3 linked regions of the Canis lupus familiaris genome follow. The protein of the gene in region 1 interacts with the protein of each later gene in a pairwise test. Links are inferred from orthologs where the notes say so. Each region holds a gene or a part of one and is shown on either strand. Other genes may lie near its edges. The genes, in order: LRP6, GSK3A and LRRK2.

Region 1 (4,390 bases):
AAATAACGAAAATAACATTAGCAAATCACTGATACTCATCATTTCATTTAAAATGCCTGTTAAACATGCAAATCAGATCAGTACTACTACCTACATTTTACAAGAAAATGAGGCCCAGAGAAATTGACTAGACCCAGAATCACAAAAGTTATTAAGTAGAGAAGCATAGACTTTGAACCCAAGATTTAAGTGTCAAAATCCCCAAATCTTTCCATTACACTTTGCCCTCCCATGGTAAGGATAGGGATGCAGATGATAATAGCATTATTCCCTGGCCTTCAGATAATGATTTAACAAAAGGTCTCCCAAATTCTCATCATCCCATCATCCCAATGTTAACTTTTCAATGTTAACTCCTCTGTCCAAAAAAAAAAAAAAAAAAAATTATCTTGAGGCAACAAATTAATCACATTGTTCTCCTTAGAGTCCAAGGTTAACTAATGCCACTTTTATAACAGAGAATGACATTATCTAGGAATGAAAAGAATCTAAAATATGAATAATAATCTTTCACATCAAAAGACCATTTTAGTTCAAATAATATGCACCCATAGTCAAGTACTGTTCAATTCAAAGACCACCTGATACCATGAGTATGCTACATTTAAAATGAGAGGAAACTTTGCTATTAGAAATGAGGCAGTTTAAACTATTAACTCTTTTAGGTCTGTTACATAACATCATACTAAAAATTAATGCTTCAAGTGCAACTTCTCTAAACCATGAAGGAACAAACCCAACTCTAGGCTCAAACTTGGTGTTAAAATAAATGGAATTTACATCACACTCTCATCTTCCAAGAAATAAAACCAGGCAACCAGAAGTATCCCAAGTTATGGGTTTAGATTTCCCCAAGACTTTAACCAATCAGTGGACTCTCATTTAATTCTACTAACTTACTGCCTTAAAAAAAAAGTACATATTCTTATGTAAAATATGTTTCTCACAGCTATAGCAAAATCCCCTTTCAACAGTATACTATAATGAAATAAACATACACTTATTAAACCTCACAAAGAGATAACAATGCATTAAATTCTCTGCCAAGAAAATTAAGTGAGCACTGTCTTTCTGGGGGTCACATGCGAAAATAGTTTGGGATATGCTTACAGTGAGTCATAATTAAGTAGATATAACATGCAAACGTAATAATCCTGCAGAAGAGTACTAAAGAAAAAAACTCCTCCTCCTCCTCAACAACAAAAAAAGTCAATCACATTCATCCAAAATAAAAATACACACACAAAAATGGCATACTGGGCTCATTTGTGCAAGGTCATGAGTTACTATTGTGCCCCGTCAACTTTAACAAGTTTTGGAAGCTTAGCAAAAGTTTAGCTTGTTAAATTAAAACCTAAAAATCTCCACAGATTCAAGAGATCTTCTGCCTGGAAAGAATTTACCACTAACATAAGTGAGAATTTTAAAAAAATCAAAGCCACAGCCACTGCATCGATCCGTGCTTAAATTCCTCTGCTAGTAAATGCTCAATAGCACCAGACTCCTCACCACTTCAACACTGATAAGTTTGAGAAGAGCTGCTGAAATCTTGAGGGCCAATCAAAAACCTAAGTGAACTGTCACAAAATAAAAGTCACAGTGTACGTGACAGCTTTACAGGCCAATTAAAAAAAAACAAAAACAAAACAAAAAAAAAAAAAACACCACAGGGCCATCTAATTAATTGATGCGATCCTCCGAGTAAATGATCTAGAATAAAACAGCCCCTGTTATTTACCAAAGTGCAAGCAGTCCCCAGGGGAGCGCAGCAAATGATAATAACTTCGGTTCCAGGACAGGCTCCTCTTCACACCAGTATGACTTTCCTACTTAGTGCCAACTGTACACTTGCATGCTCCGAAAATAGGGGCGAGTCCTGACGACCAGGGGTTATAAGGGCAACGTTTCTATTTTATTATGGGCCGAAGCTGAGAAGAATCCCAATGCGTTTCAGCTCGACCTCACCACCTCGGAGTCACTTTCCAACTGCGCTCTCACCCAGGATCATTATATCCCCCAACGGAAGCCAATCATTAGTAGTAGCAAGGCCCGGAGAAAAGAAAATATATATATATATTTTATATTTATATATACTTTTTTTATTTATATATATATACATATATAGTAAAGAGGCTCTAAAAGTTCACCTAAGAGACACGGAGAAGGTGGGGGCTTCAGGAGAGGAGGCCGACATTTAAAGCATCTCAAACATTTTAAAAGCCAAAACACGTACAAAGACCCTCCTCCCGGGTGACTCCGGGCAGAAAGAGACCCTCAGTCACCGCGACAGGACGCGGCTGCACGGGTTCCCCCGGACACGCAGCCGGATCGGGGCCGGGGCTCGCCCGGGGAAGGTCCGGAACCCCGGGCAGGGGTGCGCGTTGTGGCCCGGCGGAGCGCACAGCCCCTGCTCCCGGGCCCCTTTCTCTCTCCTTCCCCACGACCAGGCCTCTCCGGGCTCCTCTTCCCCTTCTCCGCCCTCCCTCCCCCTCCCTCCCCCTCCCCCTCCCCAGTCACGCACCAAACAAGGCCACCTCCCCCCCAAATCCCACCAACTTTGGCGACCCCCCTTCCCACCTCTCAGGAGCGCACAGAAACTGCAGGCCAGGAGGCTCCTCAGGACGGCCCCCATCTTCCCTTCTCGCGTTCTCTTCTCTCACCGGCGAGGGGCGGCCAGAAGGGGGGGAGGCGAGGAGCCGGGGCGGCCGCCGCAGCGGCAGGTCTGCAGGCTCATGCTTCCCAGCTTTCCAGAGAGAGAAGAAAGAAAGGGGCACGTCAGGGCTCCGCGCGCGCCGCCGCCGCCGCCGCCGCCGCCGCCGCCCTCTCTACCGCGCCGCTCTGCCGGGGGCTCGCGCGACGCCAGCGTCTGCTTCCATCCCGCCGCCTCCTCCCCCGGCGCCCCGCTTCCCCCGCGCAGCGCCTCATTCAGCCTCTTCCTCTCACGCAGCGGCGCAGGGATACCGCGGGCCGCCGCCGCCACGGGTCGCCGCGAAGGTCTCCCTGCGCGCGGGCGGGGCCCTCCCTCGGCGCCGCCTCCCGGGCCGCCGCGAAAGGAAGTGGGGGGCCGCGCGCACGGCCTCGGCTGGGAGACCCCGGGAGGCCCGCGCGGCGAGCGGAGGCGAGCCCCGGGGCAGAGGCCTCCCGCCGGCGCATTCCTATGGGATTCTTTCCTGGGCCGGCCGCCGCGGCCCTCCCCGCGGAGGGCGTGAAGCGACGTCGAACAACCTCGGCCCGGCGTGGTCGGGACTACTTTCTGCGGCTCGGCCGGGCCGCCGCCTGCTCCGCTCTTTGTGCGGGCGCCGCCGGCCGAGCCAGGTGGAGGTCCGGGCCGCCGCGGGCTGACACCTGGGTCGCGGGGGGGGGGGGGGGGCGGGGCGGGGCGGGGGGGGGGGGGGAGGGGGCGTGGGAGCTGCAGGCCCGGCTCTGCGCGCCGCGCGAGTCCCGACGCGGGGCGCTGAGCTGGCTCCTTTCTCGCGCTTGGAAACGGGCTTGAGCGTTTTTCTTTTACGAAAAATTAAGGCTAATGCTGCTTCCCCCAGCTTTAAACGTGACATGGTGACGGGTGGTCAAACGCCAACTCCGAGCAGAGATTTTTCATTTCCTCCTGCCTTTGCAGAATTACAGACTGTCCCCAGAAGTAGGGCCGGCGAGGACTAACGATTTTCTAAACTGGCAGATAAAAATCCCAAGATAAATGCGTCAGCACCTAAGACAGAGCAAAGGGACACTTGGTAAGGACTGCGTTGGGGGTTTTAACAAGTTGCGATTTATAGATGAGTGTTTGGCAATTTTTTTTGTTGTTGTTGTTGTTGTTTTTATCAGCTCGCAGCTTGAGGGGGAAAAAGATTCACCTGAATCTCAGACTGGTTTTGCACGGCCTCTGCTGCTTTGGATGCACTGGGCTACCAGATGTAACAGCCCATAGGCTCCCTTGAAAAGAAGTGGCAGCTTCAGCCTAGGAGGGAACTCAAGCCCGAGTTAACTATAATGGAGCCATCAGGTGCATTCTGTCCAGCTGTCACAGGCCCTTACCTGGAGGCAGATGGGCGGGGACAGTGGAGCAACTCTCACAACGTTACTAATATAGCAAGCAGTCTTCTCTTATCTGCAAGGGGATGCCTCCCAAACCCCCAGTGGATGCCTGAAGCCATGGATAGTACCCAACCCCGTATATACTGTTGTTTTTTTTTTGTTTTTTTTGTTTTTTAATTTTTTTATTTATTTATGATAGTCACAGAGAGAGAGAGAGAGGCAGAGACACAGGCAGAGGGAGAAGCAGGCTCCATGCACCAGGAGCCCGATGTGGGATTCGATCCCGGATCTCCAGGATCGCGCCCTGGGCCAAAGGCAGGCGCCAAACCGCTGCGCCACCCAGGGATCCCTGTTGTTT
Region 2 (4,354 bases), on another chromosome or scaffold:
AAGCACCTGGGTCAGGGCATGACCTTCACAAACACGCTCATCACCTCCACCAGCTTCCTGCCCGCTCTGTGCAGAAGGGTAGCTTTGTGCGTGAAGTGGAAGGCTTCGGAATCAGGCAAGCCAGAGTCTAGTCTTGCCCTCAAGTCAACTCTCTTCTACGAGTCTCAGTCTTAAGACACCGATACCTACCCTCAAACGATCTTTACGGGAGTTAGATAAGAACTTGCCCTTGTTACAAAGCACTTCACGCCAATCCAAAAGCCAGTAAACACCATCCTGGGCTCTCTGGGAACCCGCATGCCTATCTTCCACACAATTCACTCCCTTCTCTTTCCCTACTCTGGCCCATGTTCAGGTCCCCTGTGGAAAGCCAATTCCAGCCCTCTCGCCTATCACACCTGGTTACACCTCCTTGTCCCCACTTGCTACCTTGAACCTTTTGTCCTGGAGAACCTTCTTGATGGCCACCAGTTCCCTGGTCTCAGCCAGCCGTGCCTGGTACACGACCCCAAATGAGCCATTGCCAATCACTTTGATGTCTGTGTAAGCCACCTCCTGGGAGCGCTCCGGGCCTTGGCCTAGAGTGGCTACCACTGTGGTCACCTTCCCGCTGTCACCTGGGGAACAAAGGGGACACACAATCCACTGACCATCCCCCTTGCCACCACCCAATCATAGGGCTGTGGGAAGGAGGGGAATCACTACAAGGTGCTTACTAGGGGCCTCCTCATCCCCTCATCTTGGAGCAAAGATGGGTGTCAGATGCCTCCAGGTGTACTTTCTCCTTTTCCCTCCAGGGAATGCTAAATCCTGCCTCTTCTTCTGTGGGAGGACACTGACATCTAAACCTCTTGCTGTTCAAGCGTTGATAAGCTGTAATTTCTATGCCTGATAAGCAGCAAATCACTGGTCCCTCTTGGTTCGAGGGCAGCCTCACACTTGCAGATGTTGACTCCATCGACTCAGAGCTTACTGCCTGCTGGGGCCCCCTCCTGCCTGGGGAAAGCCTGACCCAATCTCTTCCATTTAATACAGCAGCAACCCTAAGGTACTTTGACTTTCAGCAAGCACTAGTTTTTGTCACAGCTTGGGGAACAGTGACCTCTAAGTCCTCATTGGTAGAGCTGGTAACTGCCACTGGTTTTCGGTGGCAGAAAGGACTCCTTCAGACTTAAGTGCCAGTGCCAGGACTCTCACTTTTTGGGGAGAGCTAGCCCGTCCCAAATACTTTGGGGTTAGAAAAAGTGCTGACATGACCTCCTCATCTGTGTGACCCAGAGCCCTAGACCCTTTCATGTATTTGGAGGGGTCCCCAGTGGGCAAGTACTAAGTTCTGAGAATGGCGAATCTGACCTCCGTTAACCAGGGGCTAGCCAAGCCTCGGTCCTCCAAAGGAAAGCTGTAACCCCTAGCTCCATTCTCCAAACAGCAGCAAACTTTTGTGGCGTTCTTAGAGAAAAGTGGCCCCTTTACTTTGGGGAACCATCAGACCCCAAAGAAAAGGAGTCACTGATGAATCAAACCCATTTTGAGGGGGCAGTGACACCTTTTGGAAAGAGATGATCCTACACAGCTGTTCTTCCACAGCCAGTGACACCACACCTCAGAACATGGGTTTAACCTCAGATCCATATCCTATGGGGAACTATGACCCTCCCCTGACCCTGTTTCATTTTTGTGGAAGAAGACCCACCACTATAAGTTTTTCATTTTCCTTGGTGTTTTGGGTTTGTTGTTTTTTTTTATTTTTTTTTTATTAAGCAAATTCTACCCTCAATGTAGAGCTCGAACTCACAACCCTGAGATCCAGAGTTGCATGCTCTACCGACTGAACCAGCCAGGCGCCCCAAGCCAAGCTTTCAAAAGAACACTGACTACAGACTTGGTCTGCAGAATACAATGATTCCTAGTTTGTCCTTATTTCTAAGAAGCAACAATCATTAATTTCTACCACCGGGGATACAGTTTTACCTGTTACAGATGGGGTGATGGTAACTGATCTTGCGTTTTAAAAGGAAAGACTGCCTGGGTACCAGGTTTGGGAAGCCCTGGCCCAATCCTTCCCGGCCAGAGTGACCCCTAAACCATTTCCATGTGATATTCACTCCAAATCCCCATCCTCTAGAGGGGAGCAAATTCAGACCCCCCTCTTCTGAGGTGATGGTAATCTCATTCTTTTTGGGAACAATAACTCTCTAGCCCCATTTGCAAGTGATGACTCCTGATCCTGTTGTCTAATGGATGGCAACATCAGATTCCTGTTTTTGAGGCTTAAGGATCCAAGCCCTAGGCATCGGAAGAACAGGAACCTGTGACCCCTGTTTTGTGGAGAATTACTAAATCTAATCCTAAACTCCAATTGATGGTGACCCCTCAAATCCCTTTCTCTGGGAGGGGGAGACCTCAGATCCCATCTTTGGGAAGCACACTGAGCTGGAGCTCCTATCTGGGCATACTGAAGAACCTGATCGACGTCTGAAGGGCTTCAGGAACCCAGATCTCCACCCCCCACGGACGCTGCTAATACTCACGGCCCAGCTTCACTCCCGGCGGCGGGAAGCTAGTGCCCGCACCCGGGCCGCCGCTGCCTCCTCCGCCGCTGCCGGTGGGGCCGCCCCCGGAGCTCGAGGCCCCCACGCCCCCACCCATGGCTCCGACTGACGCCTTCCCACCGCCGCTGCCGCCCGGGCCGGAGGCCGAGCCCCCGGGGCCGCCGCCGCCGCCGCCGCCTCCGCCGCCTGGCTCCGCGAACGAGCTGGTCCGCGCCCGGCCCGAGCCCCCAGGGCCGCCCCCTGAAGGCGCGCCGCCGCTCATGGCGCCGAGCGCAGGCCCAGGCCGCGGGGCTCGGGCTGCCCGGGCTGCCCCCGCCGCCGCCGCTGCCGCCGCCTCCCCCGGGCTCTGGCCTCTTCCAGGCCGCGCCGCTCGGGCTCCGGCTCCGGCCCAGCGCCCGCCGCGGGGCACGCCGGGAGATGCAGTCCGCCTGCCCTACGCGCCGCCGTCGCCGCCCTCGGTCGGCACAGAGAACCGCGGGGCACGCCGGGAAATGGAGTCTGCAAAGGCTTCAGAGCTGACCGCGGGGGATGACGGGTCGCGCTGCTCGTCAGGAAATAGAGTCCTAGGCAATAAGTCGGCCGACTGTGTAGACGGCGGACCCTCAAGTACTTTGAGAAGTGGAGTCAGAGTCACACACTCGCTCCACTGCAGCAACTGCGAGCGCTAGATGTGCTTCAGAAATGCAGTTGAAGCCACTCTTTTCGGAGAGCTTTGTAGTCCTGATGCACGCCGGGAAACGGAGTCCAGACGCTCATTTAGTCTATTGGTTGTGTATGCCGGTCAGCGCCAGGTGCACTGTGGGAAATTGAGTCGGCGCCGGTGCATCCGCAGATATCAGGCCGTGAAGCAAGCCGGGAAATGGAGTCGTCGCCACGCCCTCACCGCATTGCAGGTGTACCGCGACTGCCAAAGTACGCCGGGAAATGGAGTCCCATGTGCTCCCCAAGCCCCAAGTGGACACTGCTATTACGGAGATAGGCTAGGAAATAGAATAGGTAGGTACGGCGTTCCTCTGCCCTCTTATGGTGGGTCGCAGTTCCTGCCGGGAAATGTAGTCGACACCAACGCTTCGGAGTAGTTGCCACAGTGAGCCTTTGTGTCTTCTGGGAAATGGAGTTCAAGGCAGACTCATTTGACTGAGGGGGAGGGATCTACCAGGAGCCCGAAGAATGCTGGGTAATAGTCCAGACCGGATCCTAACCCTTTGAGACGAGACTGCAGAGGCTCGCTGGGAAGTGTAGTCCAATCGGTACATTTGGGAAAGCGTGAGCCAAATGTGGAAGACGTCAATCCCCTGGGAAGATTGCAGTGTTCAACGCCTCCTTACCCTCCTCAGACCCCAAGAAAAAGCTGAAGTTGGTCAGGGGCTGCGGTAAAATGGAGCCCAAACATTCCAAATTCCAAGTTTCCACAAATCAGGAAGGAAAAACCCTCCCTCAAACAATTTGGGGAACAAAGTTCCCGGTGGTCTCTCAGAACAATAGTCTTCTAGCTTTTTCTACCGACGCGGGTTCACCAAGAGGCTGAGACGAGCATTAAAGCAGGTGAAAAAATTTCCGTTTTGCATCTCCTTTCAGCCTTTTGCGTACTCCCGCCTTCTAAGTTTACAGGATCCAGGAGGGCCCAAAACAAGGAAGCCGGCTAAGAGTAGCCTCGGGTTTTGTGCACGGACTAGGTCGCCCTATTTATCGATTAATAACCGGAAAGACTAATTTCAAAGGACCCTGGGAAATGAAGTTCGTGCGAGGGAGCGTGTGTGTGTGTGTGTGTGTGTGTGTGCGCGCGCCGGAAATATTTGGAA
Region 3 (2,300 bases), about 21 Mb from region 1:
TATACTCTTTTTGAAATGTAGTAGTTTCTGTATATATTTCTTAAAATATATTTTAAATATTTTCTAGATGGAGTTTCATATAAATGACAGTAATTTAGCATGTTATTTTTAGCTGTACTTATGTATATGTTTGTAAAAGACAAATATAAATGAACAAAATTGAAATAAAATAAAAATGTCTTATGCCGAATCTTTGAAACATGGTTTCATTATTTTGTTTTGTAGAGATACAATCTTGTTTGTCTGTTTGGGACATCAATCTTCCACATGAAGTGCAAAATTTAGAAAAACATATTGAAGTGAGAAAAGAATTAGCTGAAAAAATGAGAAGAATATCGGTTGAATAAGAGAGATATTGAAGATCTTCATCTTTGGATGGGAAAATTATTCTATTGTAAATATTTCTTTAAAAATGTTTACATATGTAAAGGGTACTTCCACTCTTTGAAATAGCTTGTGTATATGAAGGAATGTTTATATATTTTATTTTAAATATAAATATGTGTAAAATAATTATCAGTGGAAAATATGTTTTAAAGAACTATTTAAAACATAACATTTTATTTCCTATGCATCCTAATTAATTTTTTGGATTAAGTAATGAAAGGAAATCTAAAAAATACATAATTGCAGGACTCATACTAAAATTTACAAAGTGATTAATTTTGTTGTTAAAGGAAGGTAAGCATTATTTAAAATTCTGCACTTAAACAAAAATGTTGTTTGATTACTTTCTACGTATTTTGCAAAGTAGAATAAACATATTAGGACTGTTTGATGTGTAATACATTCCTTCTTAGATTACTTTTAAATGCAACTATCATATATGCTTGTAAACAGTCAATGAATTATCACTAATAAAGCCCATCATTGGGATGTGCATTCTCTTTATTGCTGATTCAAACAATGCATCTATTGCAGCTTCCTTCAATCTAAAAGAAAATGTCATGAAAAGTGCTAATGAGAAAATGAAATATATGTTTCTCATATCCAGAAAAGACACAGTTACTTTCTCTTTTCCTGTTTTACAGTTCTATCTTTGAATGTGGATACCCTGAAATTTGTATAATTGGTGTAGATACAATGTTCAGTCTTGAAGTGATATTTTTAATGTTTAATTTGGATTTTCAGTGTTAAACTAGACAGCTGGTTACTTGTTCCTAATCTCTGCTCTGATGCTTCTACCTATGTTCTTCCTAAATTTATGACTCTGCAAATCCTGCATCACTCAGGAAAAAAACAAAAACAAAAACAAAAACATTTCCAGAATTACAGAATTCCACAACTCCCATCAAGACTATGCATGCAAGTTTGTAACACTTTAGTTTGATGAGGAAGAGAGGAGCTTCAGGCTATGATGGGTAAAAATACTTGCTAACCTAGTCTCCTGAGTTATACCTAAATTGTTTAAATATCTGGCCACAGTACGAATATCAGGGCCAAGTATCTACAGAACAAATTGAGTGTCATTTCTGTTTTAAGGAAAAACATTTCTAGTAAATCAATTGGCCCTGGCCAATATTCATGATTTCAAACAATTTCCTATGATAGGATAACTAGTCCATTTAATATTCTCAGAACTGACTGATGTTGTATTATAGGATGATTTTAAAAATAACGAAGGAATTTGTTCCTATGATATTTCTCACTTTCTTTGTATTTATTGCAATTTTTTACAAAGATAATTATGAAGAAATATGTAAATGAAAATCATATTTAAATGGAACAATAAACATTTTTAAAGCATGTTTAAGAATTTTAAAACTTTGTGATAGTTTTATTTTTCATATAAAGGTCTATAATCTGCTTAATATGAAATTTTATATGAATACATGTATGGGTATATAGAAAATGCTAACTAAAGTTTTCTCCTGAGGATTTATCCAGTTTTCTATAGTACACATAGTTTCCAGGATCCCAGGATAAAACCTGACAGGCCTGATATGTTTCATTTTTTAAGTTCTCATAAAAATTAAGTAGGATTGTTCAGTTTTGAGTGTTGAAAAAAGAATGACTTTAGAGCAATTAATTAAAAAATTGACAGTCATTTTAAGTTTTGCCTGGTTAAAACCCCCAAAGAAGCTACTAATCATTATAAAAGCATAAGAGTTTATCTTCATAGAAAATATTTTGAGAGGAATTTTAAATGTAAAAAGAGAGTCCCTCAAATATAATTTTGGCAAGCACTATGGATTATGTGTGAACTATTTTAAGTAAAATTCATCTTATTTTTCATCAAGATTGTGATATAAATTTATGAAACACAGCAAAAAGTAGTAAAAAAATTTTTTGAGAATTTT

Evidence for each region.
Region 2: the proteins of LRP6 (region 1) and GSK3A interact in binary tests that used the Homo sapiens proteins (3 or more experiments, as listed by UniProt). The link is inferred for Canis lupus familiaris from reciprocal best matches to the Homo sapiens genes LRP6 and GSK3A.
Region 3: the proteins of LRP6 (region 1) and LRRK2 interact in binary tests that used the Homo sapiens proteins (3 or more experiments, as listed by UniProt). The link is inferred for Canis lupus familiaris from reciprocal best matches to the Homo sapiens genes LRP6 and LRRK2.

What each region holds. Positions count from the first base shown.
Region 1 is NC_049248.1:12,171,194-12,175,583, forward strand, and holds the start of LRP6 (low-density lipoprotein receptor-related protein 6), read right to left. Parts: upstream 2,819-4,390; 5' UTR 2,633-2,818; coding exon 2,578-2,632; intron 1-2,577. UniProt on the Homo sapiens protein: Component of the Wnt-Fzd-LRP5-LRP6 complex that triggers beta-catenin signaling through inducing aggregation of receptor-ligand complexes into ribosome-sized signalosomes.
Region 2 is NC_049222.1:112,856,914-112,861,267, reverse strand, and holds the start of GSK3A (glycogen synthase kinase-3 alpha), read right to left. Parts: upstream 2,815-4,354; coding exon 2,532-2,814; intron 618-2,531; coding exon 430-617; intron 1-429. UniProt on the Homo sapiens protein: Constitutively active protein kinase that acts as a negative regulator in the hormonal control of glucose homeostasis, Wnt signaling and regulation of transcription factors and microtubules, by phosphorylating and inactivating glycogen synthase (GYS1 or GYS2), CTNNB1/beta-catenin, APC and AXIN1.
Region 3 is NC_049248.1:33,297,697-33,299,996, forward strand, and holds the end of LRRK2 (leucine-rich repeat serine/threonine-protein kinase 2), read left to right. Parts: intron 1-225; coding exon 226-347; 3' UTR 348-1,764; downstream 1,765-2,300. UniProt on the Homo sapiens protein: Serine/threonine-protein kinase which phosphorylates a broad range of proteins involved in multiple processes such as neuronal plasticity, innate immunity, autophagy, and vesicle trafficking.